3 linked regions of the Schizosaccharomyces pombe genome follow. The protein of the gene in region 3 interacts with the protein of the main gene of each other region in a biochemical or structural test. Each region holds a gene or a part of one and is shown on either strand. Other genes may lie near its edges.

Region 1 (11,540 bases), 1.1 Mb from region 3:
AAAAGGACATAAAAAGAAATATTTTTTTACACCAAAGCTGCAACTTGTTTCTTTGAATTTCGAATGTTTACATTATTCTTTCCATTTAGCGATACGCTGCTTATTCCTATTGTACACCACCAATATGTGCTACTTTTTGTTACTTAGCTCTAGCTAGGTTTCATACATAAGGTGCATCTTTATGTTAGTCCACCTTCTTATCCCTTTACCGTACTTACTGGCTTCTTAAACAAGCTTCTCCGTTGTGCCATCTAGCTAATATAATCATTTTGAGAGGCTTTTACTATCGATCTATTTGGGTTGAATGATTAGGAACAGTAGCATTTCTGATGCTCTACCTGTAGCATTAGGCGGAAATGAAGAAGAATCGCCTTTATTGATGCTGGTACAATTACCCAAAGAGTTTCTCGAAGGATATCTTTCAGGAACGATAACAGACGTGAGCTTGGAATGCAGTGATGTTGGTACTGTATGTGTGGGCATTTGTGAAGAGCGATAAAGAAGAATGAATTTTGAATGTTGCTAACCAATATACTTTTTTTAGTCAATATTAGCGAACGATAGGTCTTACAAATGCACTTCCGTTCCAGAAACTGCTCCGCATGAGATTTACAGACTGGTGGACTCGAATTCGTTACAACTGGTTGGCCGTGTCTCACAAAAGCTACAGCTTCGTAGAGAGCTCGACAGTTTAACTGCTGAGCGAGTGAAAAATCGTACGCAGGAAGCTCAAAAGGAAAAAGAAGAAAAAAGGTATGAAAAGAACGACAATAGTATCAACCAATTCTATGGATTGGAAGAAGTTACTTTCAATCTTTCTCTTTTCAAATTATGCTAATATTTGTAAAAATAGAATTGTTACCCTTCAAAATGATGGTGGTTCAAAAAATACAACTGCTAGGAAGCAAAAGCAGTTAAAAAAAAATGGACTCAGGCCTCTCAATACAAGTGCTTCACGAATTGGTCTTTCCTCTTCTCCCACAAATACACCTTCCCCAAACCTTCCCGTCTCGCAACCGTCTGCATCACCACATTATTCTGGTGATAAAAACTCGGCCAAAGGCATTGATCTTCGTACTCGTGTTATCCAACTTTTGGCAATCGCTCCCGAAACTGAAGATTTTCTTCGTTTAAGAACAAAGGCGTCACTTTCCAAATTACAAGCGTTATTACCAGAAGTCGCTTGGAAGAACAACATGAATCAATGGGAGCTCCTTAATCCTGTGTATAAAGATGTACGAGTCTTTGATTGGCGTCCTTATAGTATTGCAGACAGGAATGCCGTTCTAAGTCGTATGTCCAATGCATTCGACAACATGCAATTGCCTCCTGATGCTCCTGAACGTTCACTTTTAGTGTCAAAACAAAAAAACATTACTAAACTCAACAATGAAAAACGAATTCCTCCCCAATTGGCCCAACCCACTTCTCATGTTCCTTCATTCATTGACACTAACTCTCCTTCAATGCCTTCTATTTCCTCGGTTTCTTCTTATCAACAACAACACCGCATACCCAAGCTCAACGCTTCAAACTATTCTCCCTTGCTTTCCCCCTCCTCACACCGAAAAACATCGGGAAATCTTTCTCGTACTGGTTCAGAAAGCTCTGCCGTTTCATTAAGCGATACAACAAACTTAAATACTCCTATCTCCGACATTCCTTCACCTGGCTCTTCCACTACTTGCTCCAATCTTTCATCTCCACATATCAAACGAAAAAGTCGTTCTCCTCCGCAATCCTTGCCTTCCACCCCGTTTCCTACGTCTTCGTCTTCTACCAACGGCACTCTTGAACCCAATGCAAACTCTCCCAAGAAGAATGAACAAGATGCATGGATAGCTAAAAAGCGTCGTCAACAACGTTACACTACAGAAGAAATGCGAGCATTGGCAAAAAGATTTCGGGAAACTTATCCGCGTTATAAGAATTTATATTTAAAAGTCTCTTCATATTATGATAATAATGATACTAATAATCCTAATTTAAACAAGCTCCAAGATGAACTTATATCTCTACATTCTCAGCTCAAAAGCTGGAAAAATACACTTTACGATGCTTCCTCGGAGCTAGCCCTCTAACTTTTCTCAATAAATTTCCGGTTTTCTTAACACTCAGTTTTATTTCCAATGTTTTATAAAGGTGACGGTTATCTCAGCTTCAATTCAAAATTGTTTCAATACTGTACGGTGCCTACAACGAGTGCAGGCTGTTTTTTCCTGCTTTCGTTAAGGCTAGTGTTTCGTTTAAAAGATAAATTGGTTAAATTCATATTCAATTAGCAGTTTATTGAATATTAGTTTGTTTTTGATTTTATAATGAGAATCTTGTTATTGTGATGCTTTTTTTAAACTTTTATGACATATCTTTAAGTTAGTTAAACTGCGTGAATTCCTTATGTGCTATCACTTTTTTTTGGGCTTAAAAGTACCACTGATGAGTCCTTTCGTTTAATCTAATTTATTTTGTTTTTCTTACCACCTTTCATGAAATATTCCGCCAAAATTTTTTTTCTACATTAGTACAAAGTGACCCTGAAACAAAAACTATCATTAAAATGTTTAGGTATTCATTGATCCGTTGATTACTGATTTACCTTCATAAGTCATCTAATATAAATATTTGGAGACCAGCTTCTTTCACAGCTTAACCAGCGCTGATAGCAAAAAAGTAAATTCTATTTTCGTTTATCAGAAGCAAATATTTAATCAATTAAAATTAAAACTTTTATTTATCAAATATCGGTAATAACTACAATGTGTAATGGTATATAACCTTCAACACGGTCGTCCTTATTTTTGCCTTTCTTATATTGTTTTATTTAAAAAGGATACAAAGTTAATAAAATACAACAGAAACAAAAAAAATTGCAATTCTTTTATATAACCTCCTTAAGCCAGCGGTAATAATGCGATGGCAAACGTCGATGTTCACGCAAACCTACAGAAACTACATTGATATCCACTTCTGGCTGCCATAGTTGGCATTGTCTAGAAAGGGCACCACTAACATTAGTAGAAGGGTGAACCGGTATAATCAATCCTATAGACCCTAAAGTTTCCCATGCTTCCAAAGCAACATCCCTTCCCCATAATCGACTGCTATGAGCTAGAGCTCCCGATGCTGCGGCATTTATAACGGAAGATTGATGCAGTTGTCGATATTCTTGATAAGCACTATTAAAGTTGCAAGCTGGAATATCCCTAGCTTCAAAGCGAACTGCACAAATCAATAAAGCCAACTCCAACAAACTTAAATTCTTTACAAGTTCAACCTTATGGTCAGAAACTTTGAGACTGATATTGGCGAAGTCTTCATCAGCAAGTAATGGACGATCAGGTGCCATGGAAAGTATGGGAAATAATAAATCAACATACAATAATTTTAAATTTCTGCTTGCAAAATAGTGATGTTGTACCAATTTATGTAAGTGACTTCGTGTATCGGAAAGCAATTCATCCACTCTCTGGTTCCAGCATGTTATTATTTGGTCTTTTCCGCCTTCGTCAGAAACATACAAAACAGATTTTAAAATTTGCTCAAATTCACTAAGCGAAGAAGGTGGTCGCATGGGAATTACCATGTGACTAAACCTACTTTTTACTCGCTTTTCAAGTGATTCAGAACAATCATAGCGAGTAGTCAAGCCTATGATCAGTATCGGGGCTTTCCTCGATTGAGCAATGTCAAACAAGTTATACAAGAGCATTTGCCGTGAATGCTGAACAAACAGGTCAAACTCTTCTAAAACAAATATCACGGCTGCAGACGTTGTCATTACGTCTTCTGCAATTCCCAAATCCACGGGATGAGACAATGTAGCTAACAATTTTGTAAGTGTATCAGAAAAGTTCATTTCTGATTTTAATGCTTCATCAGACTCGATAGATTCAAGTTCAATAGATAATTGTCGCGATATTTCACGCAAAGCTAGTTTGTCATCTGTCTGGTACGTACCATTCAATCTTACGACATAACTTTTTTCATTTATTTCCTGAGCTGCGCGTGATAGTATATCATCCACGAGAACTGATTTTCCAGAACCCCGTGGACCGACAATAATGACAGAATTACCTTCGCCAAGTACTATAGTTTGTCGGACCCATTGATAAAGCTTTGTCTGTTCATCCATATGTCCTACAAGAGGGATATGGCTTTTCCCACACAACCTTGCAGCAATCGTAGATTTAATAGTATGTAACTGTGAGTCAATTTCAGAATATGGGACGTCATTAAATACAGACTCAACGACAGGATTAGGATAAAGTTTATGCTGACTCTTTTTAGGAGAAATAATAGCAACTTCGAAATTAGGTTTTTTGGGAGGAGGTGTAAATTGAGATTGTCGAAGAAGGGGTAATCTGTCAGATGAAGGAAGTAGTGGAGAAACTGAATTGGGTGATGAAGATTCGGATTGCGGAGTTGCTGAAGAGGAGTGAACAGAGGAATCGGTTAAACCAGGTGTGATATTACGAATTTCCGCATTCTCTTGACGCTTTTTCGGTGGTCGTCCACGTTTTCTAGGAAGCAACGGAGCTGATTCTCGCTGTTGATTATTAAGGAACTGTTGATTATTAGGAGATGTAATAGCAAAATGTTTAAGTGACAACGCGTCTGAGTCATGAAGCATATCCTCATGTTTTCTAGTAAAGGCGCTTAAAGGTACAATTCCACTAGCTATTTTTGGAGGTCTACCACGCTTTCTTTTAAAAAGGGATTGTGATTTTGAATCTAAAGGCAAGCCACTCGGTCTTTCAAGGCGAGGTCTTCCTCTACCTCGTTTGGGTCTATTTTCATCTATTTTATTTTCAGTACTTGTCCCAAAAAGTATCTTGGGCTTATTTAAAGGAGGTCGTCCACGTTTCCGCTTTACTGGGACGTCTGCAGTAGAAAATAAAGGTTGATCTGTGACTACAACTTCCTTCCGTATTTCAGATTGTGGATTCAATGAATAGAATTCAGAAGAAGATTGTTCATTTTCTGGATTCAACTGTGAATGAGTATGTAGATTTGTACCTGTCGATTCAACCGTTACATTATTCGAAATTGGAGTATTTGCAATCTTCTGTTCAGATCGATGTAAAGGTGGACGCCCGCGCCCTCTTTTCGCAGGTAATACTACCAAAGGAGAAAGCCCATTTTGACTTGAGCTCCCTTCTTCTGGTTTTATTTTTCGAGGTCGTCCACGCCCTCTCTTTGGCTTCAGCTCACTTAAATTGGCATGCCCTTCGGCAAAACCTTCTATGATATTCGGCTCATCTAACCCCATCTGTAGATTATTTTGAGTTGTTCCCTCATCTACAGACGGTTGCACTACTGGGAGAGGATGTAAACGAGGACGTCCTCTACCTCTTTTAGGCTTTAAGGGATCATCTAGTTTTGTGGAAGGAGAAGAACTTTTTATTTTTGGAGGTCTGCCACGCTTCCGTTTGATTATAGGCTCCGATCCTTCGTCAATTGGTTTTGGTGGATATTTTCGAGGTCTTCCACGTCTGCGAGGAGCTTCATTGAGACGCAAAGGTGAAGGTGAAGGCGGAGCTAAAGTCGTAGTTGAAATATTATTATCCTGAAATAAAGTGACAGCGGCAATATCTTGCAATTTTGCTTGAGAGGCAGTTAATCCATTATTTGCATCATCATTCGTAGAATTGGGATACTGCTGATCATCATTACCACTTGATAAATTTTGAACATTTGAGGTCTCATTAGTTATGTTTGTCTGGTATTCATTTTCCTTATTTTCATAGATTGCTTCTGTGTCCAAATTCCCAAGATTTGTGAATGGGGATGAGCTCATATTAAAAACTTGAAGATGCACATCCCTATGGTTTTTATACACTGTAAAAATAATGATCCTCTAAATTTAGCCTTTTTATTAACAAATGCAATTAATTGGTCTCTTTTCTAATTATTTTTTTCAATTTCCTCTTGACTTGACAGATGCAGGGTGTTACTTCGATTCTTGGTAAAGGTGAGCAGTAAGATTGGCGTACAGCCTTAAGGACAGGGCCAGTATAGAAATATATTTTTGAAGCTGAAATAATGACTAGGTAATAGTAGTAATAATCTAAAACTATTTTAATCTTTTTCAAGCGATGCTGATGACTATAATTATTTACTTGTTGCATTTATTTGTAAAACCATACATGTATGAAGGGAATGAATTTCAACAGATTCATTAAATATTCATTTTTTATTAAAAAAAAATAGTTCGTTAAAATTAAGGAATGAAGTAAAACACTTCACTTTTGAAATGAGTAATTACCATAAAGCTTTGTAAATTCATACATAAAAGTAGTGAATAGCTGAAAGGAGTCTCAATAGCTATACAAGGTGCCTAAAATTCAAGAGAAAAAATCAAATCTGTTTTTGCTAGCTTTGGTCCAGCAGGTAATCGTACATTAATCAGTAAGTCAAGATATTAATGGTTTATCAAGAATATCCGAAAAATTAACCATATTTGTCGCTCCTTGAAGATACTCGTAAATCTAGTAATGCTTCATGAAGAACTCCTTCCTTAAACGCTTTTTTGAGGGTCTTTTTTTCATCGGTAGAAAGTTTTCTTCCAGCCCTGTAAAATTACAAAGTTAGAATGACGAAAGTAGAAGGGAAACCCCAATAAAATAGAATAGCATAACTTACATAGATTCTAATTGTCTGGAATGTATGGTTGGGTTGTCAAATAAAGAAGACTTGTTTTTCTTTAGGAAACGAGTTTGTACTCGAATTCTCCATTTGGCTTCAGGAATGACAGTGTCAGAGACACATGCAATGGCCTGATCTTGTTTTTCTCTACTTAATGTTAAATATTTTTTCGTTGATACACTTTTCCAAGCCCAAAATCCTGAGCCCAGATTCTCCGCTATCCATTGTTCCTGTGATCCTACCGCCTCTTGCGTACAATACAAGTCTCCAGACTTACTACATGACATGTATTTACCTAAACAGCTTTTCAATAGTATAGTATTGTTCAGTATGGATAACAAAAACACCTGGCGCGTCAATTCTGGCTCTAGCGAAACTTTGTCGAGGGGAAGAAGAACGCAACTTTCTTTAACTTCTTCAATTCCAAGAGATACACCAGCATCATCGTCTATTTTACTACATAAAGTTGTAAGTAAATTAGAAAAAAAGGTATAAGAATATTGAAGTTAAGCTTACTATATAACCGCTGGACCCTCAAGCTCATTTAGCTCGTTTGCGTCCGTCCAAAAAGGATCGTTTTCAGCTGATTCTAGAGAAGATTGAAGTGATTTTGTGTTCTTTTTTTTCTTCTTTTGACTGATTTCTTGTTAGTGATGAACAATATAATATGAATTACCACATTCGAGCAGTTATTTCATTTTATCTTACATCTTTTTGTCTCCCTTGAAAGTTAATCGCATAGACATTTTACCATCAGTAAATTACCAAGAATTTAAACGATTAAAAATCCTTAAAAATGATAATTGTTAATAATGGATAATGACTAAATATTTATGCGTGGTTTTCGAGGAAAAAGCAAGTAGTGGGAGTAGTGTTAAGGATTTGAACAGACCAGATGCTTCTTCGTGCTGAAATCCAATATGTTCTGAGGAATAGGCAAGGTACTCTTAGCAAAACAAAAGAGGTTCAAACGTTTTTAATAAGCAAGGAAATGCTTTATATGAATAGAAATGTTCTGTTGCTCACAATGTGACTTTTGTGACCCATGCTAATGTTGGTTTGTAAAATGGATGATTTGCATAACATTCTAATGGCTTGAGAAAGAAAAAAAATGTGCTTAATTGAATGATAATTTTGAATATAGATGAGAGAAGAAGTATGCACCGAAGACTAGCATTGTTCAATACCAAAAACATTCGTTGAAGGACGAGTCATATTCCAAAAAAGGAAGTCCATTGATGACAATAAGAATTTTTTTTTGCTTATTCAGTTGAAAGCTTACAAAAGATGAGCACTGTTTCAATTTACTTATTACTATGTGAATAAGTGTAGCCATAATACCTGCATATTAAAAACAGCACAAAAGTGGATGAAAATATTTGAGTGATAAAAAAACAATAGTATTAATTTTGTTATTTAATCTATTAACTTGATTATTGTTGTACAAATGAACTTGGAAATTCCAAAACATTCAAAAAAAAAAAAAAAAAAAAAAAAAAAACTAACTCGTTAGTTAATAAGGTTATTTTTTAACGACTTTTACATTCATCTAAACCAAATGCTGAAACATGAAAATTTTAATGTTTGTAATAAAATAAATATTTTTAAAAAATAAATAATAAATATAAGAATTTATTTTTATCTAATATACTAACCATATGCGTAATATGTTAGTTTCTTAATCACGGTGAATAAATTTCTTTTTTTTTTTTTTTTTTTTTTTTTCTTAAAAAATTTTTAATCAAAAAATTATTGCTGATGGCAAATAAAAACAATGGTTTAATTATTAATGCAAGTGCGCAATTTTTCATTATTGGTTTTGATATATAAATTGAGGCCACGTGAATATCTAGTAAATATGGAAAATCTACAATTTCGTTTTGGACACAATTAAGCAAACATTGGTAACAATTGAACGGATGTATGGACTTGATAAATAATATGATAAGCCTCAACCACATAAAAATAAAATTTAAATAAATAAATAAATAATATTAAGAATATACATATAAGGAATTTCAGCAATATAATTCAATAGCTTTCCATTAATATGCTCAGTGAATAAATATAAATATAAATATTTATCTGTTAACTTTTAGTTGCCAAACAATGTTTTAAACCACAAATTCAGCAATTAATGTTCTTCTTGAGCATAAGCTCGCAAATTATTATTTAATTTTTTTTTTAATTTAGCATATGCATTCATTATTCCGATATGGCCATTTCTTTGCAATGAAATTAGGTGGCACGCATTGGAGTCCAATTGGTGAAAGTAATGATTCATTAAAGTCCAAATGGGCTGAGTGCTAAATTTGCTCAGAATTGAATAATTAAATTAATTGTTGATTGTCACACAATCGCCATCGCTAGACAATACAATTCCATACTGATCGCAAAGCTGGTCAGGAACCCGACCATTCTAATATGGTTTATCTCAATCCATAGAAGGATGGGTAAAAATAGGTCAATATTAGAGCGCAATTTTAATTGTGCGAAACAACAAATGAAAGAAAAAGACTAAAGAAATAGAAAAAAATTGACTTAGTTATTACAACTTCTGCGATCTTGTAAACATTGATGTAACATAACATGCTGCCCTGATTTTACTATTACTATTACTCTAAGTACGACCTAATAATTGCATGTGGCCAGCTCCATGCGGTACTGTCTAGAAATCCTTAAAATAATATTGTTAGATATATTTAAAATATACAGCGATATCCATCCAAAAGAGAGCACAAAGGAAAGATCCCCGCTACCAGTCAGTTTGCCTTTGTTGAATTAGCAGCCTTCTCATTAAACCCCTTTTACGAATTTTACTGGACGCAAGCGTACACCCGTGCAGATTGCAACAGCTCACTTTGACCTTCCTTTCCTCCAATTCGCTCCGACTTTCCTATCATAAACCAATCAAAATCTGTCTACTTTGCATTAAACTTTAGAGTACGCTTTTGCTCTCATGGTTTCCACCACTCAGAGCCCGTCATCTCTAGAATCAAAAGTTTCGTTAACGAATAATCTGTCCTGAATGACTTTTTTTTAACCAATTATAAACGCTCTCAGGAAACCCTAACCTCGACGTTCCTTTATATACAACACCTGACAACCCGTTGTTTACTACAACTACCTTTTATTAACTACGCCTTTTTTTTGGATAAAAAATTTCTGAGTGTCGGATCTTGGTCAGTCGGAGTGGTTTAAGTACTTTCTTGTCTTTCTTTTAATATATACATACTTCAACTACTTGTTGGTCTTCTGATCCGGTTCCACGTCCGTTCTTTCTTACTCTCGTTGTTGTTGTGTTAAATCCAACTTTTCACCTTCGTTTCTTTACTAAAATACCCACTTTCTTTTTACTCTCTCTCTCTTTGTGTTTTCGGTTCTTTAGCCTTTACTCTCGTCACACTCTTACTTTTGTGAATCTTGGTTGGTAGTCGTTCCTTACTTATATCATTTGCGTCAAGGAGGCTGGTAATCTTGGTTATATAAATATAAATATCTTTATAACCTAAAAGTTCTTGCCTTTATTTTTTTACTTCAACTAAACCACTGTATACGTTGTGGTTTTTGAGTATTGTCTAAGCAAAGGCATTACTTGATTTGATACTTCTTTTTGGTCAAACGTTTTTGAGAACTCATTTCTCTTTCAAAATCGTTTTTTATTACATCCTTTATTTGAACAAGGATTTTTTTTGTCTTGAGGAACTAAAACTAAGCCTCTTTGTTTGCAGTTTCTTTCTTCCCTCAATCCTTTGTTCTCGACTGTCACTTTCGGAAACAATATATTGTTTTAACTTGGTTTTCCAATTTCAGCCTCTTACAAAACTTACTCTTTACATATACCCCATATCGAAACGCTCTCTTTTGGCAAGTGCTTACTTGTACTAATCCTTTCTTTTTCATTTAGGACGCGTTTGCATACATATCCCCTCAACCATACCTAGTTCGGCGTCTAAGTATATTATTATCTACTCACATATTTATCTTTTCTTTGTATAACTTGAGATGATTGCCAAGTCGTTTATTGCTTCTTTTCTCTTCCTTTGTTTCGCGTTTTCTGGCGTTAAAGCCGATGGATGCTCTGAGGAAAATGGTTACTACTACTGTAACCAGGCCTCCGAAGTAGAATTCACCAATGTTGGCTATTCTTCTACTTATAACGAAATCACCAACATGGATACCTCTTCATGCTCTTGTAGCAGTACTCCCAAGTCTTATGGCGGCAATTTGGCTCCCTTTGACGAAGAGTTCTCCTTCCACTTCCGTGGCCCTATTGAGCTCAAGCGTTTTGCAGTCTATTATCCCGACACTTCTAACGCATTATCTTCTCTTCGTAAGCGTAGCAACAACCAACACATGAAGAGACATCCTCATCATAAGCGTGACGATGTCATCGACAGTACTCTTACCGTGTACGAAACGGTCATGTATACTACAGCTGTTTATGGTGATTCAGCCACCACACCAGCTGCTTCTGAAGCTCAAGCTAGCAGTGACATTTTGTCAAGCCTTGCCAGCCTTTCCTCTGCTTCTACCGACAATCTCGCTGCCAGCGTTACTCCTACTACTGTCGCTGCTTCTGTTGCATCTTCTGTCGATACCGATTCCGCTTCCGCCACTATTTCCTCAGTCGTCGACAGCGCTACTTCTTCCGTTAGTACCGTGATTCCATCTTCCATTATTTCCGCTGCCCCTCCTGATTCCGCCTCTGAGTCCACTCCTGCCTCTACTTCCTACGCATCCTCTACCACATCTGCCACTTCCACATCAACTACCTCTGGATCATCTGGCTCCTCCGACTGGGGTCGTTCCTCTTTCTATGAGGCCGATTCGGGCACCTCGGACAATATCGTCTTTTTGAACAACATGGGTGGTAGTGCTGGTAGTGGTGTTTG
Region 2 (10,141 bases), 1.3 Mb from region 3:
TTAATAAGGATGAATAACTCCATGTCAAATCTCTTGCACCTTTTTGGTGACCATCGTCACGCGAAAATTGTTCAGACATTGAACCATTTGGATGTTGGAACTCAGCAACAGCTTTTAAAAAGTTATCAGCATATGTGTGCATGTTTTTCCTGATAACGGACCAGTTGTATGGATCTCCAAACTCAGCAAATTTCATAAAGAAATGGATGTTATATTCAGTCAATTCTGGTAAACCTTTATTATCGTAGTATGCGATTGCTTTGTAGATAATCTCGGCAGCGCTGCTTGTGCAAATGAACCAAGGGTTACCAATAGACTTAGAGACACCATCGTATACATCCTCGGGATAGCGTCCCATTGCTTGCTTCCATCCCTGATTGACGGGATAATCTCTGGTCATGGTTTCTTGCAACTTCAACAAGGTTGGAAGGATGTGCATATCAAACTCATTTGAGTAAAGGCTTGCAAGCAAAGTGGAGCAATCAAGTCCTGAGCGATCGACTCTGCCTTTATAACCCTTAATAACACCCATTCCAGGATCCCAGAACTCTCCCAGTTTTAGATCAATAGGCTCGATCGTGCGTTGGTAGAGTGCGGCTTGGTCAGGTGCTCCAATTCTCTTTGCAAAAGCTGTACCATCTTGCATGGCACGCTTCTGAACGGCTAGAGTAAAGTAATGAACGTCCTTAATTTCTTCCCAAAGATCAAAGCTTGCCTCTGTCCAGTGATTTGCAGTATAATCCAAGTCGGCTAATACAGCCTCAATCCAGACAGTAACTTCATGGACCTCTTTACCATTTTCAAATAAATAATTCATGTATTTGATAAATGCAATAGCCCGAAGAGCAGGGGAATCATTCTGGGGACGTCCCCAATCTCCGTCATAGCTTGTCCCATCAACATTAAATTTAGGCTCACCAAGACCTCCGGCGTAAAAGTCTCCACTTGGGTTCGGGACCTTTTGGAGCCTGACCATTTCATCCATATATTTGACGATAATCGGCTCAAGTCCTTTGTCCCCTTCAAAGAAACGATCTAAAATAGTCATGATCGTCAATGCACTATCACGAACCCATTGATAATAGTAATCAGGGGAATCAGTTGAAGGGGAAGCAATAATACATCCAGGATTAATATCCTTAGCATGCATACCGCTGTCACCGATATTGTTCAGCATATGTCCCATAGCAATACCCTTTTGCTGATCCGTCCATTCATCCATAGAAGCTTCCTTGCTTCTTTTATTAGGGGAAAGTAAGCTTTCTGCAGATACGACCCCCCCAAGGAGTAAGAATAACCAGTATGTACGCATGTTGGAATTTAAAAGTATTGTAAAATTGGGTAGACTATACAAATATTGATGGCAATCGTGTTTAATTATATAGGCAAACGAATAAAAATATGCGCTTTAGTTAAAATTTAACTGGAATATTTGCTCTATATATGTCTTTTGCTTTGTTTATTAGTAAACAAAAACAGAGGGAATTACCATCAAAATCGATCATCATGCTGCGACACGAATGGACAAAACTAGACTATATAAGTTAGTAAATAAACAGAGTAAATGAATGTGATTGATCCTTTTTGGCTTATACTGAAAATTTGGCGAAGCAAGGATTACCAAAGAAAATGTATTTATTGTTTGTTTATTTTCAACACTTGCTTATAAAGTTTGATTCTATAGTATTCAGATCTATGATAATATGGAAGTGTGCATTCACCAATTACTTAAATAGCGACAAAATTTGTTGAATTGGAAAAAATCGACAGCACAGCTTTTAATATCAAATACGCTACTGAGTCTGAGTATAAGCAACAAGTGTGATCTTTTTAAATAATCATCGTTAAAAAGCACAAAATATAACTGTGATAATGGACAAGATGTCGCTGTCAAATTCTGAAGCAACGTTTCAGTTACTCCAGCAATCATTAAAACACATCTCTTTGTTGTAAAGGAGAATTATTGTATTATGCTCTTCGCCCTATTATTTATTCATTAATAAGAAAAATACTCAGAGAGCATCGTTCACTCACGATTGTCAAGACATTAAGATCTATTGTTCTTCCACAATCAACGCAAATAGAAATCTTGTATCCACCTCATATTTTAAAAATAAAAAATCTCTAAAAGATATGCAAGAAAATCAAATTTTATTTAATGGAATTTTTTTTAGTCTTAATTGAGTTGTAATATTTACAAACCTTTAAAATGTAAACAAAGGAGTTACCGATACCATCGATATGCGTTATCGTATATAAAGTACTCTAACGTTTTTTGTTAATGTATCTACTGCTCTCGTCATCACCAATATCGATTCAGCCTTGGATATCGTCTATCATCCGCAAAACAGTAGACTGCTAGTCCTGTTACTGAAAAATGGCTACCTCTCAAGTTTTACACATTCTTCCTAAACCCTCTTACGAACACGCGTTCAATAGTCAAAGAACAGGTACAGTATAGGACCTAAATAAGTAGATTTTAACAAATTTGATATAGAGTTTGTCACCACAACTGCTACGAACCAAGTTGAACTTTACGAGCAAGATGGAAATGGGTGGAAGCATGCCCGAACATTTAGCGATCACGATAAGATTGTAACTTGTGTCGATTGGGCTCCGAAATCCAATCGAATCGTAACTTGCTCTCAAGACCGTAATGCCTATGTTTATGAGAAACGTCCTGATGGGACTTGGAAGCAGACCCTCGTCTTACTTCGTTTGAATCGTGCCGCTACGTTTGTTCGTTGGTCGCCTAACGAGGACAAGTTTGCTGTTGGTAGTGGTGCTCGTGTCATTTCTGTTTGCTACTTTGAACAAGAAAATGACTGGTGGGTCAGCAAACATCTGAAACGTCCGCTTCGTAGTACCATTTTGTCTTTGGACTGGCATCCTAATAACGTTTTATTAGCTGCCGGCTGTGCAGACCGTAAGGCATACGTTTTATCTGCTTATGTTCGTGATGTCGATGCCAAACCAGAAGCCAGCGTTTGGGGTTCACGTTTACCTTTCAACACTGTTTGCGCTGAATACCCATCTGGTGGTTGGGTTCACGCCGTTGGATTTTCACCTTCGGGTAATGCCTTAGCGTATGCTGGCCATGATTCTTCTGTTACGATTGCATATCCCAGTGCTCCCGAGCAACCCCCACGAGCTCTAATTACTGTCAAATTATCTCAATTGCCTTTGCGTTCTCTTCTTTGGGCGAATGAGAGTGCCATTGTGGCTGCTGGCTATAACTATTCTCCTATTCTTTTGCAAGGCAATGAGTCCGGTTGGGCCCATACTCGCGATTTGGATGCCGGAACTTCCAAGACCTCATTCACTCACACAGGAAATACTGGTGAAGGTAGAGAGGAAGAGGGTCCTGTTTCATTTACTGCTCTTCGTAGCACATTCCGTAACATGGATTTGAAGGGCTCCAGCCAGTCTATTTCGTCTTTACCAACCGTTCATCAAAATATGATTGCAACCCTTCGACCTTACGCTGGGACTCCTGGCAATATTACTGCGTTTACCTCCAGCGGTACCGACGGACGTGTTGTTTTGTGGACTCTTTAGAAAAGATATCGGCAAATGAATCTTATCAAATCAATTATCGAATTTCCGTAGATGTTAATCTCATAGAATAAAAGAATTGAACAAGCTTTAGCTAGATATAGTAACTGTTATTCCGCAGCTTATATGATTACTATGTCGTCTTATAAATTTTTGTCAATCATATTCAGTTTTGTGTATATATTTTTTCTTAGAGACCCCAAAATTGAGAAGTGCTTTTGCTACGTAAGTTTACTTATACCACCACTTGAGACTGAACCACGGGTATGCGTTCTTACGAATAATCATTAGATATAACTTAGATTAAAGTGTTTATTAATTGTATAGTTAGTAAAATTAGTAAAGATCAACCTGAAAAGTTTAAACACCAAGTTGGATAAATAATATTGTTCAAATTTATGTAATCCAAACAACGAAATTGAAAGGATGTTCTAATTTGATCCTTTCGGCAAAATTTGAAAACCGTAACGCGTGAAATAAAAATATAATGAATAGAAAAAAAGAATGAGAAAGAAATGATAGTACTATCTTCTGTCAAAAAATCGTTTTAAGGTACCAATGTCTCCAACAGCTGTAATGACATCCATTTCTGGAACAAGCAAACTAATGATTCGGTCCTGAGGCTTTCCGTTACGCTGCTTCGTGCGCAAACGAATGATTGCAAGAGTTTCTAAAGAATTCGCGACATCGCAAAATTCCGAACTTGTTAATGGATAAATCAAACGATCTCGAAGACACAAAGAACTGTATTTTTCAAATACATCGGCAACACTCAATGAGGTTTTTTCACAAACAACAAGCGTACAAAGGATGGCTTTCTGTTGAAGACCAAGGTTTTTTAAACGAGCACTAGCAGATTGGCTCATAGCAGATGTCGCTCGGACAACATGAGCAATTGATGCTCTTGGTATATCAACAGAAGATAATGTGTTGTCATGTTGAGCTTTCCATTCTCTTTCCGCAAGTTCAATTGCATGCCTACATATGTCTAATGCTTTTCTCAAGTCACCACTTGAAGCTGCAACTTTCCGGGCACATAATTCAATTGCAGCAGGATGTATAAAAGGTGTTTCATCAGCATGCTGAGATACAACATTTATACTATCATCGCTTACTTCAGAGATTGATTTAATAGGAGTAAAAGGATTGTTTTTTTCTGATGTGGTAGCGGCGGTTTTCAAACGCGCTTTTATAATTGTTGAGATTTCTTGAGCAGTATAAGGCGTAAAAGAGAGTAATTTGGGAGTAATATGCTTTGTTCGTAAACGAGGGAGAAATCGATCTGTCATGTCTAAGGCATTTGCAATGCCTACCAAAATTAATCTCGAAGTCGGTCGAGAGGGCCATTCAAAAAGCGTGTACAGAACCTGCTGTTCGCGAGCAATCAAGTGATCCATTTCATCTAAAACAATAATGACTGGGTTATATAATTCATTGGCGGACTGGGTGAAATGCGACTCTAGTTCACATTGGAAATTGATGTGATGATCTTCATTTTCTAAAATTTCCTCTTTAACAATTTTAGAGTGAATTTTTTCAAAAATTGCTTTTGGTTCATTAATAGTCATACAATTAATGTAACAAACATTAACTTTGGGATAATCGCTCACTACATGATCCAGCACGTTGTGAAGCAGAACGGTCTTTCCTGTGCCAGGGGCACCACTTACGTACAATGCACCTCCAGCATTAGCATCAAGATGTTGACGAAAGAAAGATTCCACAATTGACTTCTCATTTTCACGACCCACGACTCCTGCTGAACGATATGATTTACGTAAACTCAATTTGGCAGTAGAATTATAGGACGGAGTGGAGGGTGTCGAAGGAGTGGGAGGAAAAAGTTGACGGTGAGGTGTCGATTGCAAAAGGCGAGTAGCAAATGGAACAGGATTACATGTACGATTTAATGATTTGGGTGTAACAATTTGAATGGTCCTTTTGGGGGTTTTAGGAGTTTGAGGTGTTGTGGGTAATTTAGGTTTCTTATTCTCCTTTAACTGAGCAGGAAAATTAGGATAAAGGTCAGTTTTCTCCTCTTGCAGTTCTCCTAGTTCATATTTTATTCTTTTTGTGGGTGTTTGGAAATGTGAGCTAGCCAGCGTACGTTTTCTGCTGGGTGTAGTCGGAATCTCTATTGAAAAGGAAGGTGAATGCTCCCTTTGATTAGTTTTGTTAGTACAGTCAATCAAGGCTGCAGAATCTATAAAACGATTGCATCTTCGAGGTGTATGACAACCTATTGGAGTTTCACACATATCGATACTTTATAGTAACCCCGTTTACTAATTATGTTATTTACCAATAGACAAGTCAGGTAAATTTGATAAAAGGGCTACTAAGTAATATTAACTTCGTGCTTGGTGTTTAAGTTTTGTTTAAGAGCAGATATGTCTTTTATAAATATACGCGACGCGACACGTAAACGCGAAATCTAATTAATCACGAAGAGTAAATGAGATGTCGCGTTCAACTCTACGTGTCGTGTCGCGTTCTACGCGCGAACCTTTTTACTCTATAAGTTTATATTCAGGTAATGATATTATTTTATAACGACTCATCCTCAAAGATATGAAATGCCTTCTCATATTCCAATTTAGTTACGACGTTAGTAAAATTAAAGTAAAAGACCCTAAATTCTTTTAATAAATTAGAAAATCTTTTTTCAATTATCCCTAAAGATAACAGAGGTCCCACGAACGAATTTTTGATGGACCATACCATCTTTGGTGCTAATGGCCAATAAAGCAAACAGCATTTCGATTAAAGAAAAGTAAACCTCTTACAATGTTCACTAAAATTGAATTTCATAGCAAAGTTTCCTCTAGTTTAGAATGCAAGTGAACACTTTAAGCTAGTTTAACAAAAGGAAGATGAGAATTTTGGTAATTATCCAAAAGAATAAACTAAACATAAACCCCAAATTACATGCCCAATCCCTTTTTTGTTCCTTTGTGTAAAACACCGTGCATATATTGTTGTTCTAGTTCTTTCTCTCTCTGCTTGTCATTTGTTTTATTAGATTGAGCAGACGGAGACGATTCAGTGATGGATGCAGCATTTTTTATACCCAACATTTTTAAAAATTTTGATTTTCGTTGATTTCCACCAGACAAACTCGCTGCAAGCCAGTAGTCAGTGTTTCCCTTATCCTGACTCCTACTTAACGAGTTTTTCATTTGATCATGATCATTTTCAGCTACGTTTTTTACTTTTCAGTGTTAACGAGCATTTACTGTTAATGCTTAATATACATACCCATAGGATCCTCCGCTAGAGTTTTGGTGTTTTTTATACTCGATCTTTCCCTTTCCTCTTTCCTGATACTATGTTAGAGTGGGAAGTAGTGATTTAATAAAAAGCATTAAAAAACATACTTAAGCTTTTTAACTTTATGCTTTAGCTTTTTGTATTGTTTTAACTCTTTTTCATCTGAACACTCATGTTAATGAAATTTAAAGAAACTTGCCCAACATACCGAGTTTTTTTTTTTCCTTTGATGAAAGCTTTCGAAAAGTAGAAACATCTGTTCCAAAAGGATGGATTTGCTTATCCTTCTTTGAGGATTTGGAGCTTCCCATTTTTTTTTTAGACCGTGGCGTTGGTGGAATTCCAATAGAGATAAAATCGTAAACAAATGAGCCAAATAAGCAATACCCTTAGACAGCTCGGAGTTTTATCTTTTTTCGTAAAAAAGTTTATGGATCTGAATACATTTCTAAACATTATAGTTAAGCTGCATATAGCCATCTATTGAGTACCAAAAATCTGTTCCGTTTTTGGAAAACATCTAGATAGATCGGTTGGCAATCAATTATTCTTCTTTTTCTACATCTTTTATGATCTTTGATGCTTCCTTGTGGTCCACTGAAGCTTCTGATTCAATTGTCTCAGGCGTCTCAACGGAAATAGCTGATGACGCTTTCATAGAAGGGACATTCACATTAGGTTCTTTAGCATTAGTCATTTTCTCTTCTAATTTATTTACTTCTTTTTTTTTATCTTTTTGATTCTTTTCCTGTAGTTCGGATCGCAAAGAAGATATCATACTGTTTCTGCTCTGCAACAACATATCAAGAATTTCAAGACTTTTTCCGTGATAGTCAACTTCATGAAGTAAGGGTCTATTTAGAGTTTTCCTTAAAAGATTAACAGTTTTGTCTTTAGCGGTAATTTGTCGTATTCTCTGATCCAACAGTGAACTTGATCTTGACGAACTTTGGCGGAGTAGACCTGTCTCCGTCCTCAGGAGTTGCTTTTTTCTTTCTTCCTCTAGTACTGATTTGTATTTATCAATTGACTGTTTGGCTGTATGGTGATATGCTGAAAGCGAACAGGACCCAGCAATTGTCCTCCATACCATCGGACGCAAACGACCATTCCATAGACATCTTCTTTTCGCAACACGTTTAGAAGCTTTTGTCCTGAGTATTCTTCCCCGTCATCATTAAAAGCCTCTATCTCATTGGGAAAACGCCAAGCTTGCATTTTATGATTGCAATGCTTTAAGTCGGCAGATTCTTGAAACATAAATCTATATACTGGGAGCATTTTTGGATCTTTAGACGGGACAAAGTAAGATAAAAATGTTGATTCTCTATCTGTAATTAAATTGGACATATAGGAGCATTCTTGTAAGGATTGCTTAGGAACCGCTAATGAGATCCCTTCATTGCCAAATTTAAGTTGAGATTGGCGCTTGTTCATATCATATCAATTCTTTCTTTGGAATAGTGGAATTAAATTTAAAAACTATGAGAAAAACATTGATTTAATTCAATTTCAAATCAGATTACGGCAAGGTGCACTTGTTGAGTTGGATGGTCCCATGAAAATTGCATTACAATCTCAATATAGATTACACTTTCAAGATTTACAAACTATTTTTTTTATCGATTTACGAATTTCTGAACGTATGGTTAGCTCGAAAATCCCATTTTGGTCGAAGCAAACGATGCAAATAGATACTAGGTAGATAATGGTAAACACCGACAATTTTAAATATTTTTTGGACAAATATATATAAACTTTTTTTTTTCTCCTGCTAAATTAATATGGGTCAACAAAAATTCGGATAGCGTTTTCCTGCAGAAACATAACTCGTTTACCAAGACCACTTTTGGTATTGACAACGCAATTTTTTAATAATGGCAAGTAAATTGCTTAGAAAGTTGGCATACCCAACTCTACCTGTAAAAGGAAAGATATATGATCCTTTTAGCAAGTTTCAACAAAATTTATATGGTGGGTCGAAAACCGAAGCTGGTAACAACAAAATCCCCAAGTTTGGACATAAAACGCGCCGTGTATGGATACCAAACGGTCATTCTAAATGGTTGTATTCAAATGTTTTAGAAGAAAAGTTTCATTTGTATGTCACGTCCCGAGTTTTGCGGACCATTGACAAGGAAGGCGGTCTTGACGAGTATCTTGTAAAGTCAACGCCTTCACGCCTTAAATCATTAGGACTGAGAGGAGTAGAATTGAGAGCATTGGTACTACATAAATTGGGTGCTAAAAACCCCATTCTTGAAAAGCTTCCTTCCGATTCAGGCGCACAGAAACGATACCTCGAAAAGGTTAAGGATGTGGTACTTAAATTAAATCGCAGCAAGAAGTTATACCAACAAATTAAAAGTTTAGTTGGAAAGGAACGATCGGTCAATACGTCTGTGTAACTTATAATTGCACCGCCTTGAAGTTGATTTATGAGTAGCTTGATTACTCTTGTGAGCTAAAGTTTTAATGAACAAATTTACGTTTTCAATCTTTCTATGATCGATCAGTTAACTGGGTTACTCATGGATTTAGCAACAATGTAGTAGTAATGCGTTACAATTAATTTGCCATGGTACGATGTTTATAACTTTCCTTTACATTTTTTTCCAAAAAGGTTACAATATTATCTTCTCTCTCTTATCCTTAAAAATTTTTGAGAAGAAATCATATCATGGAACTTATTTGTTTTATGTTTTTATAACTGGTCTTACAAGCGAGACAGAAGAGGACTTGCCTGATTTGTTTTCCAACTTGTGTTTTGTGATAAACCTTATAGTTCCAATTTTACTTATTTAAATGAATTATCTTAATTATTACTTTAATATTGACTTACCGAAGTTTTTTTCACTGGTTCCTGTGCATCCTCATATGTTTTTTGCTTCGAATTTCTGGAGTATCGGGGTTCAAGTAATATGGATCAATTCTCTCATGCATTTATTTTTGCATTCGCACATTTTGGTCTCATTTTTCAACAAAATATCTTTTCCCGTTTCAATAAATTCATTCAATGCCAATTACGGAGTCTGTAGAATAGTTAATGATTCGTTTGAATATGGGGGATAATAGATATTTATTGTGTAAACATTGATATCAGTTCCCATCTAGGCGTAGTTTTCTATCACTATAAAAGGTCTTGAAATTGAAAAAAAAGAAGTCATGACTGCTGGCCTTGAGAGCTTGTTCACTTTGGTTCTTGTGATGACAATGCGATCCATCTGACAAAACGGATGTATTGCTTTAGAGAGTATCCGATCAAAAAAAAAATTGTTCCTTGCTCATAACAGATTAGCCTAAATTAGAACAGAAA
Region 3 (10,001 bases):
TCGTTTTTCTAGCCAGTTTATAGTTTCCGTTTGCTTTGGTCCAGCACTGGTAGCTTTATAACCAATATAGAAACCAGCAGGGTCGAGCTTAAATAGGGAAGGTCCAATCTCATCATCCACAGCTACAAGGGTCATTGCAACTCCCAAAGGCCTCATAGCAGCACGTTGGGTAGAAACTTGAGCAATATTAGCCATTCTTTTGGCTAGAACATCGCAGGGCATAGGGTATCCATTTTTGTATTCAAATTCAGCAGCCTCACTTCGAGCCCGGCTAACTTGCGCGCGAGCGTCCGCGATAGAGCCTGTCATAACACAGCCGATTCCTTTAGTAATAGGAAAAACATGTTTAACGGTAGAGGCATCAATAAGTTTGTCAGGTACTTTTTTTTGGGAGATTACACATGCACAATTTTTACCTGTTACACCAACAGATGTAATCCCTGCGTTATTAAACGCTTTGAATGCATATTCAACTTGATAAAGACGTCCTTCAGGGGAGAAGACGGTAATTGTCCTATCAAATCCGCGTGCTTGAGACATCGTAGTTGGTAGTAGTAGGTTTATAACCTGAAACTTAGTAATTGTGGAACATTAGTACACGCACAAGAGCTTCTTCGATTTCGCTATATTTTGCGTTACGACTCTTTATAATGTAAACAGATGCATGTCGAACATATTAAACTATATTCAATTGAAAAAGAATGAGTTATTGATTTTCTGATATTTCCCACTTTAATTTTATTATCTAATCTATTAGAATAGGAATATCCAACTTTTTGAGTATATAGTTTAGTCTATGCGAAACTTGCTGCCCACGACGAATTGACATTGAGCTTACAAAAAATAATTAAAAAGTATAATTGAAAAGGATGCTCGATTGGTTGATTAATTAAAAAATTCAAATTTCGAGAAAAAAAAATAGCTATGCTAAGAAAAAATGTAAGATGGCATTGTATGTGATATGAAAGACTAAACCTCTAGGAATGATATTCGTTTAAATTAATAAATTATGGTTTTTCTGAGATGAAATCACAAATGTAGAAATAAATTGTTAGAAACTCAAAATATAAAATATTTATGCATTCGATTTTATTGTTTTGCTAGAATTAAAAAACTTAACACAATCCAAAAACTAAAAATTTATAAATCAAGCAGAAGAAAAATACTATAAAATGGTTTAAATGATAAACAACTAAAGCATTGTTAATGAATAACTATATGATAATTTTAACGAAGAAATTGCAATTACTGAAAATACAACAAAATAAAAAAAATAAATAAATGAATATAGCTATCATTTGAAGTTATAAGACTCAGTCATATGCTAAGCATTTAACCATAGTGAGTTTGAATTTATTAGCAATGGATGTTTCAACAAGATCTGCAGATGCCCACGCCCAAACCTACGCAATTGCGAATTTGTACCAGGTTTTAGTAATTTCAGGAAATAATACCCCGTATCCTTTTAATTAGTTTTTTTTTTCATATATAGGGACTTCTTTGCTCATCACAATACCCATTTATGGTTGTTAGTATACCTAAGATTTAAAGCTTCTTTTTGTTTTGGTTGTGAGCTCTGCATATATTCTTCATAACTTCGAAAATTAATTACCTTATCATTTTACTAAAAAACTGTTTCCCTTTTTTCTTCTGTGTATAATAAGCAACCAAGTTTATTATTTATACTGACGAGTCATTTGGGACATAAAATGAAACCTTTAGCATATTATGAAGATCAACTTTTAAAGGATGAGAAGTCATTTCTTAAAGTTACTGAAATAGAAAGATTGCTTAGCTATGCAGCTTATTTGTTGCCAGCGGAATTTCGTGATGATCAACTTAAATCACAGACAAGTATGGATTTAGCTATTTGTTGTAATCTAACCTTTTGTTTAGTCACATCTATTTTACTACTACTTCATCAATTCCATACTGGCTTACTGTTTCGTAAAATTGCTGAGTTACCAAAAACAGAGCAAGCAATTTTGAAAAGTGAACGTACTCAGTACTTAGAATATTTCAGAAAAAAGAATCCTTCCTTCGAAAAAGTATCGGAACTTCTATACTTTCTAAACATATCGACGTTCCCCATCGAGCTTGTAATTTCTAAATACAATCCATCAAGACAGTATGATTCTGTCCTATTCTTGGAATCAGTCAAGTACGGAAATCTACTTTTCGATTAAAATTGTTAACAAATATTAGATTTTTACTTCGGGTTCACATTATGTGGACTACTGGAGGTGATCTTCCGCTCTCTAATCCTGTATTGCAGCGCGATTTCAATGTAAAGACTTTCATTCATCTTCACAAGAAATACTCTAATTCAGGAAGTGCTGTTGTGTTAAAAAACTCCAAGAAAGTTGTTCCCAGACTTAATACAGTCAATTCATCGCTTGACTTCTTGCAAAACCGAACTCCACGTCTTTCTTCAATTCTACCAGATGAGATTTTTACAAAAAGACTTCCCAATCTACGGATTTTTTCTAATTTTATTAAAGTTTGTCGTCCGCTTATCTATATGTTGTTTATGTGGCATTGGAAAAGAAAGCAAAAATCGAGTTCTCTTAAAGTTCGACCTTGGGGGCCTTGGATTGTAGCGTTTGTTTTTGAAGTTATTTCTCAATTAATTGATCGAAGATGTGAATCAGCGACTTCTAGTCGCCAGGGGTTTGGACTAGAACGCCGGACAAATCAAAGTCAGTTTCAGCATTTTGTGGTTTGGGCGTTTACTCAAGGACGATTTTATGATGAGTTTACCAAGTATGTAATTTATTTGAAAGGTTTTTATAACAAAATGTCGTTTTTCAACTCACTAACTAATTTAGACACTGGATAAATCGTTCCCTAAGCTGGGTTAATTCAATACCCGTTTTTGGTAAATATCTACTTCTTTCAGTTGAGGAAAGACAAAAAAGTCTCGAAAATTATATATCCTCTGGTATGATATTGATATTTTTACTGCTACTAACCTTTCATTCAGTTAGAAACTATTAAGGAAGCCTTGATGACCAGAACCTATAGAAATCCTTTTCTTATTTATTTAACTCGGTGTTTTTCTCTCTCTTGATTTCAGTATTGTTAGTATTTCATTTATCTACTACGTCTTTTGTTGCTTTGATGATTAGTCTTCATTCTTCTATAAAACTCAGTACACTTTTATCGAAAATAAAGCAAAAGCTTCAACATTGCATGCTACGAAGATTAGCAACGTTATCCATACATGAGTCAATCAGTATCTGAAATCTGCGGTGCAGATATGTAAGGTTTAAATAAGACTTTAAATTTCACAACTAAAGAATGCTGTGTTAAATTCAGACAAAGGAAAAGATGTAATACACTGAAATTCGGATATTATGATGAGTTCATATCAATTACTAAAAAATGCATTTTGATTTTTTTAATAACATACTTAAAACAGTTAACGGCTAGATTACAAATTAAATCTAAGCAATATTTAATTCTACGTACTCCGCACTAGGCCATTTATTCAAAAATAATTTTGGCTATGCATTAGCGGTGAAGAAGTTAGTATTGAAAGTGAATTAGCTAGGAGAAAGAAAACTTCTAATAACTCAAGCGAAACGAACTTCTGTTCTTTACTACTATTAATCAAATATATTACAAAAAATAAAATTTTATAATTCTATTTTAGAATAACTGTTTAAGCACATTTTGTTACGACAAGGCTTCTCAATAAAATACACCTTGAACCAAGTACAACGCTTATAGTAAACAATCAATTAAGATTTCAATAATTCCAAAGTTTAAATTGTATTTGAAATGTACGAATATTATTCTTCGTTTTCCATTAATTACCTTTCGTTTATTTGTATAAATTAGTCCACTAGTTTTTGCTTCGAGCGATGAATGTTTCACTGCACGACACCATATGCCAAAGCATAAGCATATTGCCATGAAATGCATTTGTATCAGTTGGAAGACGAATTAAAAAAGAATGTCTTTTGCAGGGAAGATCAAATAAAGAAACTTTCATGTTTACTTTTTAATAAGGATTGTCGTGTTCCAAGCATTGTGCTTTACGGAGTTGCTAGTACAGCAAAGACTTTTTTATTGCGGACCGCTTTTGATTTGTCAAAAGAAGAAAATGTTTGGATTAATTTGCAAGACTGTTTTACAGTCGCTCATTTCTGGTACCGGATCCTTATAAAAGTCGGTGTTGACAAAGATATAGCATTAAAAAAAGGCATTAATATCAGTGGATTTATTTATTTACTGGAACAGGCAATGTCCAAAAGGGACTATCATACATTTTTGGTACTTAGTTCCTCTCCTATTTTATTACTCTTAAATACTAATATGAGTTATAGGTGCTGGATCAAATAGATGATTTCGCTGAGGCTTCTACTATTCTATTCTCACAATTAGCTCAGCTTCCGATTGTTGTAAGTAAATATTTACAGACCCACTGATTAACTATTTTAGGCAAACATTCCCAATCTGTCAATCATTTTTGTACTTCATTCTCACCCTGCTCAATACTTGGGAACATTGTCTATTGCAGTGATTTTTTTCCCACAATATACCCAAGCGGAAATATTAGAGATATGCCAAAAAACACCTCCTAATTTAGATTTTTTGGATAGATCTGGCGATAGTGTTTTTGAAGACGAAATTGAGCTCAGCGTCTGGATGCAATATTGCTCGTTTCTTTGGAGTGTTTTTGGAGTGCAGTGCTTAAATGACTATAGGTCTTTTCGTAGTGTTTTGGATAGATATTGGCCAAAGTTCATTCAACCTATAGTTGAAGGAGACATACATCCTGCTGATTATGCTCAACTTCACAAGCTGGCTAAAAACTTTTTAGTGTCAGATGCTACGGTTACTAAAAGACTTCACATAATCAACCCGACTGAAATAAAAAATCTTCTTGATTCCAAATCTATTAACTTGTCGCTCGTTTCCAAATATTTACTCGTTTCTGCATTCCTAGCATCTTATAATCCAAGCCGGTTAGACGCCCAATTTTTTTCATTTTCTAAAACTTCGAAACGACGTGGAAGAAAACGTAAACAAATTCAAGATGAAGGGGTTTTATTTTCCAAAATACCAAGAACCGCTGGGAGCAAAGGCCGGTCTGCTGTAAAAATATCCCAACTTACATTAGGACCTAAACCTTTTGAAGTAGAAAGGTTGATTGCTATTTATTATGCCATTTCTTCCCCGGTAGAGAAAGTTCTGACCGCTGATGTTTTTGTTCAAATAGCTACACTCGCCTCCTTAAAAATGATACTTTCGGCTTCCAAAGGTGTGCTTCGCTCTTTGGATAGCCCTAGATACATTGTCAATGTCTCTCGCGAATATGTATTAAAAATCGCAGATTCACTTTCGTTTCCTCTCGATAGTTATTTGGCGGGATAGCTTAGTATTATGGTTTATTTTATTGCATTACTGAAATTTTGAATATCGTAGTTCTGTCACAATTCATTAATTTATACAGAACTATATGAACATCCATTCTATCTCCCCATAACATGTTATTTTACTGTTTAAAGGGCCCAAAACTTAAAAAACATATTTTTTTTTGTTACTTCTGGAAAATAAAAGAAAATGTACACTACAAACAATTCGATTACGCCTCTGTGATTCTGTGTAAACTGTTACGTATTTAACATTATGGAAGTTGGCAAAGCTGTAAAAAGCAAAAACTAGCGCCGAAAACACTCTTGACAAAAAAATAAAGTAATGTGCTGCTAAGATGGATACATAATATATATCAAGAGGCAAAGTTTCAATCATAACTCTGATATAAAAGTTAACCCTCTGAAAGAGCTACTCTGCTGCCGTGTAAATCAACAACGGGAGACAATTCATTAATAAGAACATATGTATAAAGAAAAGCGTCCGTCAGTTAACGTCAAAACATAAGTAAAAGTATATTTTTAATGGTTAATAAGAAATCATTGGAGATTTAACCAAAATCTTATCCATTTAAAGATGATTAAAAATAAGTATCAAAACCCGTTCATGAAATATGGAATGTTAGAGGTAACAGTAAAAGATGAAATAAAACGGAGGTTCAAATGAGAAAAAGAAAAAAGGGTGTTTCAAATCATCAAATATTTAGCATCACCGACGTTGTGTATCTACACTAGCTTTGCTATGGCTACGATGGCTGCTTGTGCTTCCTCGACGTCCATGTCTAAGCGAAGGAGCACTATGGGGAGCGGGTGGAAGAGTGCCTTTCATGTGAGCATATAAAACAGATATGATATCAGTTAAGCTAACAACGCCCAACAATTGATTGACCTTAACACCACCCATGGATCCAGGGGAAAGATGTGCGTTATTTTTTGGGGAAGGAGGGCAGGAAGGTGACTGCACAAGCCAAAGACGATGACATTGGGTAGCCACCAACTTAGCCAACGTAAAAGCAAAAGTAGAGGATTCATAGATGTTAAAAGCAGGAGCACTATCCTTACCAGCGCGGATACCCTGTTCGCTTTTAATGACACTCAAAAAGTGAGCACATGATTTGTTTAACAAATAGACAGAAGAAGAACGTGTAACGTATTTAACATCAACGAGAGATATGTTGCCAAGTAACCGGAATTGAGCATCGACAACAGCAAGTGAACCAATACCGGTTTGATTCATCTGTCGCAAGGCCGCGGCGACTTTTTGATCTCCAGAGATACAGGTGATGTCAGTGCTTCCAATGTCCAAAGAGTGAATTGTCCTGGACATTAGAGGCTCCAAATCGGGAAACGCACGAATATTATTCCACAAAAAGCGGATGATAGAGCGCTGAGAAGCCATAAAGCTCAATTCACCCTGTTCGTTAGTGACGGCAACACGACGAATACCGGAAGAAAGAATCTCAGCGAGACGTCCAAGGCTGGTGGTGTGAGGGATGGTGATAAAGTCATCCTTGTTTTTCCCGAGTTTTGCAACCTCATAAGCAGTAATGACTTTTCCAGCACGAATATCTTCAGCGACCTTTTTAAACCTGCCATCATTGAAATCATCAAAACCCACTACCATGAGCAAAAATGAGTTAAGATCTGCATAGTCAAAGGTCGTAGCAATCTCGTTGCTTCCCTTAGCAGCAACAATAGGCAAGGCGCTAAGATCTCGGTCGATCAAAATGGAACTTGCCTCTTCCATGGAAGTTTCCGGGTCTATGAGAGCAATTTCATTATCATGAAGAAATGTTACAGGGATATCTTGCCATTTATTTGAAGGAAGATTAGTGGGAATGGGAAATTGTGCCAAAAAATCTGAGACCGAGTTCACGCCAAAGGACTGACGTCCAGCGCTCGATAAAGAATCAGACGATTGAGTTGACAAAGGCATTCTATACAGTTTTCCAGTTAAAATCTCTTTCTTTCCTCTGCATACAACAAAACTTACTGTACCGTGCAGTTTGTCAAATCTAGGTCAGTGTGTGGTTCTGGATAGCGTTGAGGTAGGCAGTGACGGAAGTACCTAGTGATACAACGAAATAGGGGTACGCAGTGGTAAGGCTTTTTTAATCCACGACCTCTTTACCACATTAGACTGAGATCTCTGTAAATCCCGCCGTATACCACCGTCTACCTAATTAATCCACCATGTATGTGGCCTAGTTAAAAATTTCATAATCTGCGATTTCAGTATTTACATCACAATCAACCACTATTTCATTGCTTGCCCGCTTTCATCCCAGCAAGGTAAAACTAGGCAAAAAAATTTTTATTCTTTTTTAAAAATTTAAAAATTAAAATTAAACATAAGGATGGATTTAGTATGAGAGAAAAATAGCCAAGCGGTTAATCGGACGTTTTTCCTTGTTCATAAAGTGGGAAAGTGGGGCAGCTGCTCTAGTTGTAGATGCAGTGTAGGTCGGTTTTGCACAACAAAATCCTAATTTTGTCATTGCAAAAAGGCAAACAAAAATTTGTGTGCAACGATGAAGTGATTAGATGAAACGAGGCGCGCCTATGGAGCAATAAAGCGCTTTGTTTGTTAAAAATGCTTTTGAATTAGAGTTATGGATGAACAAAGTCAACACATTCATATGTACTAAATAATATTAAGACGCAGTATGAAACATACATAATTCAACGTTGCGATACCGAACAGCATCTACCCAATCTTGAAAAAAAAATTAAAATTTACTCTTTATGTTGTTTGATAATTTGGCAGGAGAATAGATAAGTCAAGTCATCAAGTAATTAATTTTATTAGTTAGTTTGAGAGTAATCTCGTACTGTAAGCATAATAATGCATGCTATAATATTGGGTACTCAGTTCTCTAATTATTATACATAGTACTTACACAGATGATCATCATTACCATTGCTTAGCAAAATTGGCAATCATAAACAACAGATATTTCTACCACTGCTATAGCGCTATACATCATTCGAATTTTGAGTGGACTTTTGCTCAAGACTTATTTGTCGAAGAAACGAATGAAAATCCACCCCTTCGTCTAATTTCTCTCCCCAAACATGGAGAAATCAAATCTATGTAATATAGGTTGGAGATGACCAAGTCAGCATTAAATGTTTGATCATCTCTTCACTTAGCAAATCCTATTGAATATCACTCAGTTAATCTCTTGTTTTGATCTTTTTCATTGATAAATGAGTACTAAATACATTACTGCTACGTATTGCTTCGTCTCATATAGTAACGGTGGCCAAATTTGAAGTGCGACAAAATACCATACTACTAGTAATAGAAATTCACATACTGAAACGTCAGATGCGTTTAATAAATAAAGCGCTTGTGTTTTGTTGGCAATTTGTGATTCAACGTGGTAATTAAAAAGTTTCAATATTGAGTAAATGGTCCGCTACAGATCACTCCGGGGAAGAGGTTATTGGGTTACGTAAAAAGACTCATGTGCTGTGGGAATAGCTATTGAAGAACACAAGGTATCGATTGTGTCTCACTCGACGTACCATAAGAAAGTTAAATGGTAAAGTGTGATATATGAAGTGAAAATACAACGTTACTATAATTAGCGGATCCAAGATGTCCAAATGATGATGATGATTGATATAGGAAATGCGATTATGTAGAAGATAAAGTGAATTTCCAAAATATCAAAATTAAAATCGAAAATAATCGAAATAACATATTGATATATATATGTAATTTGAGAAAATAAAATTTAAATATATAGGACACAAATAGACGCTCATCTAGTAGAAGAAATTCCAGCAGTCCAGTTACGGTTTGTAAGAGCATAAAATAAAGTAAATCCATAATTCATATAATAAGTTTTCATCTTGTCCTTTATTTAATTTTATTTTTTATTTATTTTTTATTTTTTTTTTTTAAATTTTTACTCCTTTCATTGATTAATTGTAGTAAAAAAAATCTACAAATTCATCGTCCATTTTATCCTATTCACTCGCAATTCTTTTTGGTAAAACACCCACGTGCGACTTTGTATTTGCTTAACGTACAAACTGCCAGTAGCTTAGTGTAAAAAAAAAATTAAAAAAAAAATAAAAAAAAATAAAATAAATCTATAAATGAATCATTACAAATAACGAATTACCAATTGAAAAATTAGTTAGAGTTTCTTTAATTGATCATTAATACATTATCGAATATTAAAATACGTTGGAAATCTGATATAATGCTGCGCACTTTATTAAACAATGAATTTCCACTAAATACCATAATAGCTTCTGTCTTGTCCTTGCTATGTAAACAAAGCTCAAGCCAAACAAAAACTTCAGGCGCATATTAAACAAGCACTTAACGTTTCGTACTAGATATTCTCTCAATTGAATTAATTGATATACGTTGTAAATTATTTCTATGACATGTACCTACCAGTCTTAAGCAGACATTATTAGATTTTGTCCTTTGTTTAACATATTCTCATGTATAAAATTTCTACATTTCTCTCTCTTTTTTTTTTTTTTTTTTAATTCACCACTTTGTATTGTAACATATTTACTTTCACTAAGTCGGCATTTTTTTTTTCCACATCATTAAACCTTACATCGCTTATAGTCGCTACCCTTTGGTCGGCC

What was found.
Region 1: the proteins of orc5 (region 3) and orc4 form a complex in vitro, tested with the Schizosaccharomyces pombe proteins (4 studies listed by BioGRID).
Region 2: the proteins of orc5 (region 3) and cdc18 form a complex in vitro, tested with the Schizosaccharomyces pombe proteins (one study listed by BioGRID).

What each region holds. Positions count from the first base shown.
Region 1 is NC_003423.3:2,019,800-2,031,339, reverse strand, and holds orc4 (origin recognition complex subunit Orc4), read right to left. Parts: upstream 5,953-11,540; 5' UTR 5,798-5,952; coding exon 2,879-5,797; 3' UTR 2,664-2,878; downstream 1-2,663. Other genes in the region: RNA polymerase II transcription elongation factor Ell1, read left to right, coding at 305-469, 545-753, 854-2,081; FRG1 family mRNA-processing protein, read right to left, coding at 6,451-6,571, 6,643-7,101, 7,162-7,281, 7,354-7,391; SPOM_SPBP23A10.11C (circularly permuted 1,3-beta-glucanase), read left to right, coding at 10,651-11,540. UniProt on the Schizosaccharomyces pombe protein: Component of the origin recognition complex (ORC) that binds origins of replication. It has a role in both chromosomal replication and mating type transcriptional silencing.
Region 2 is NC_003423.3:2,212,061-2,222,201, forward strand, and holds cdc18 (MCM loader), read right to left. Parts: upstream 5,925-10,141; 5' UTR 5,814-5,924; coding exon 4,080-5,813; 3' UTR 3,895-4,079; downstream 1-3,894. Other genes in the region: meu17 (glucan-alpha-1,4-glucosidase), read right to left, coding at 1-1,312; arc1 (ARP2/3 actin-organizing complex WD repeat subunit Sop2), read left to right, coding at 2,378-2,450, 2,498-3,558; protein tam10, read right to left, coding at 6,480-6,766, 6,814-6,875, 6,933-6,987, 7,034-7,136; mrpl24 (mitochondrial 54S ribosomal protein bL28m), read left to right, coding at 8,703-9,233. UniProt on the Schizosaccharomyces pombe protein: Part of the checkpoint control that prevents mitosis from occurring until S phase is completed. Plays a key role in coupling S phase to start and mitosis. Acts at the initiation of DNA replication and plays a major role in controlling the onset of S-phase.
Region 3 is NC_003423.3:948,197-958,197, reverse strand, and holds orc5 (origin recognition complex subunit Orc5), read left to right. Parts: upstream 1-3,880; 5' UTR 3,881-3,921; coding exon 3,922-4,278; exon of another isoform or gene 4,279-4,331; coding exon 4,332-4,406; exon of another isoform or gene 4,407-4,446; coding exon 4,447-5,382; 3' UTR 5,383-5,864; downstream 5,865-10,001. Other genes in the region: scl1 (proteasome core particle subunit alpha 1), read right to left, coding at 1-540; Pex16 family peroxisome import protein, read left to right, coding at 1,710-1,854, 1,897-2,161, 2,206-2,763, 2,829-2,941, 2,984-2,997; protein sds23, read right to left, coding at 6,091-7,317. UniProt on the Schizosaccharomyces pombe protein: Component of the origin recognition complex (ORC) that binds origins of replication. It has a role in both chromosomal replication and mating type transcriptional silencing.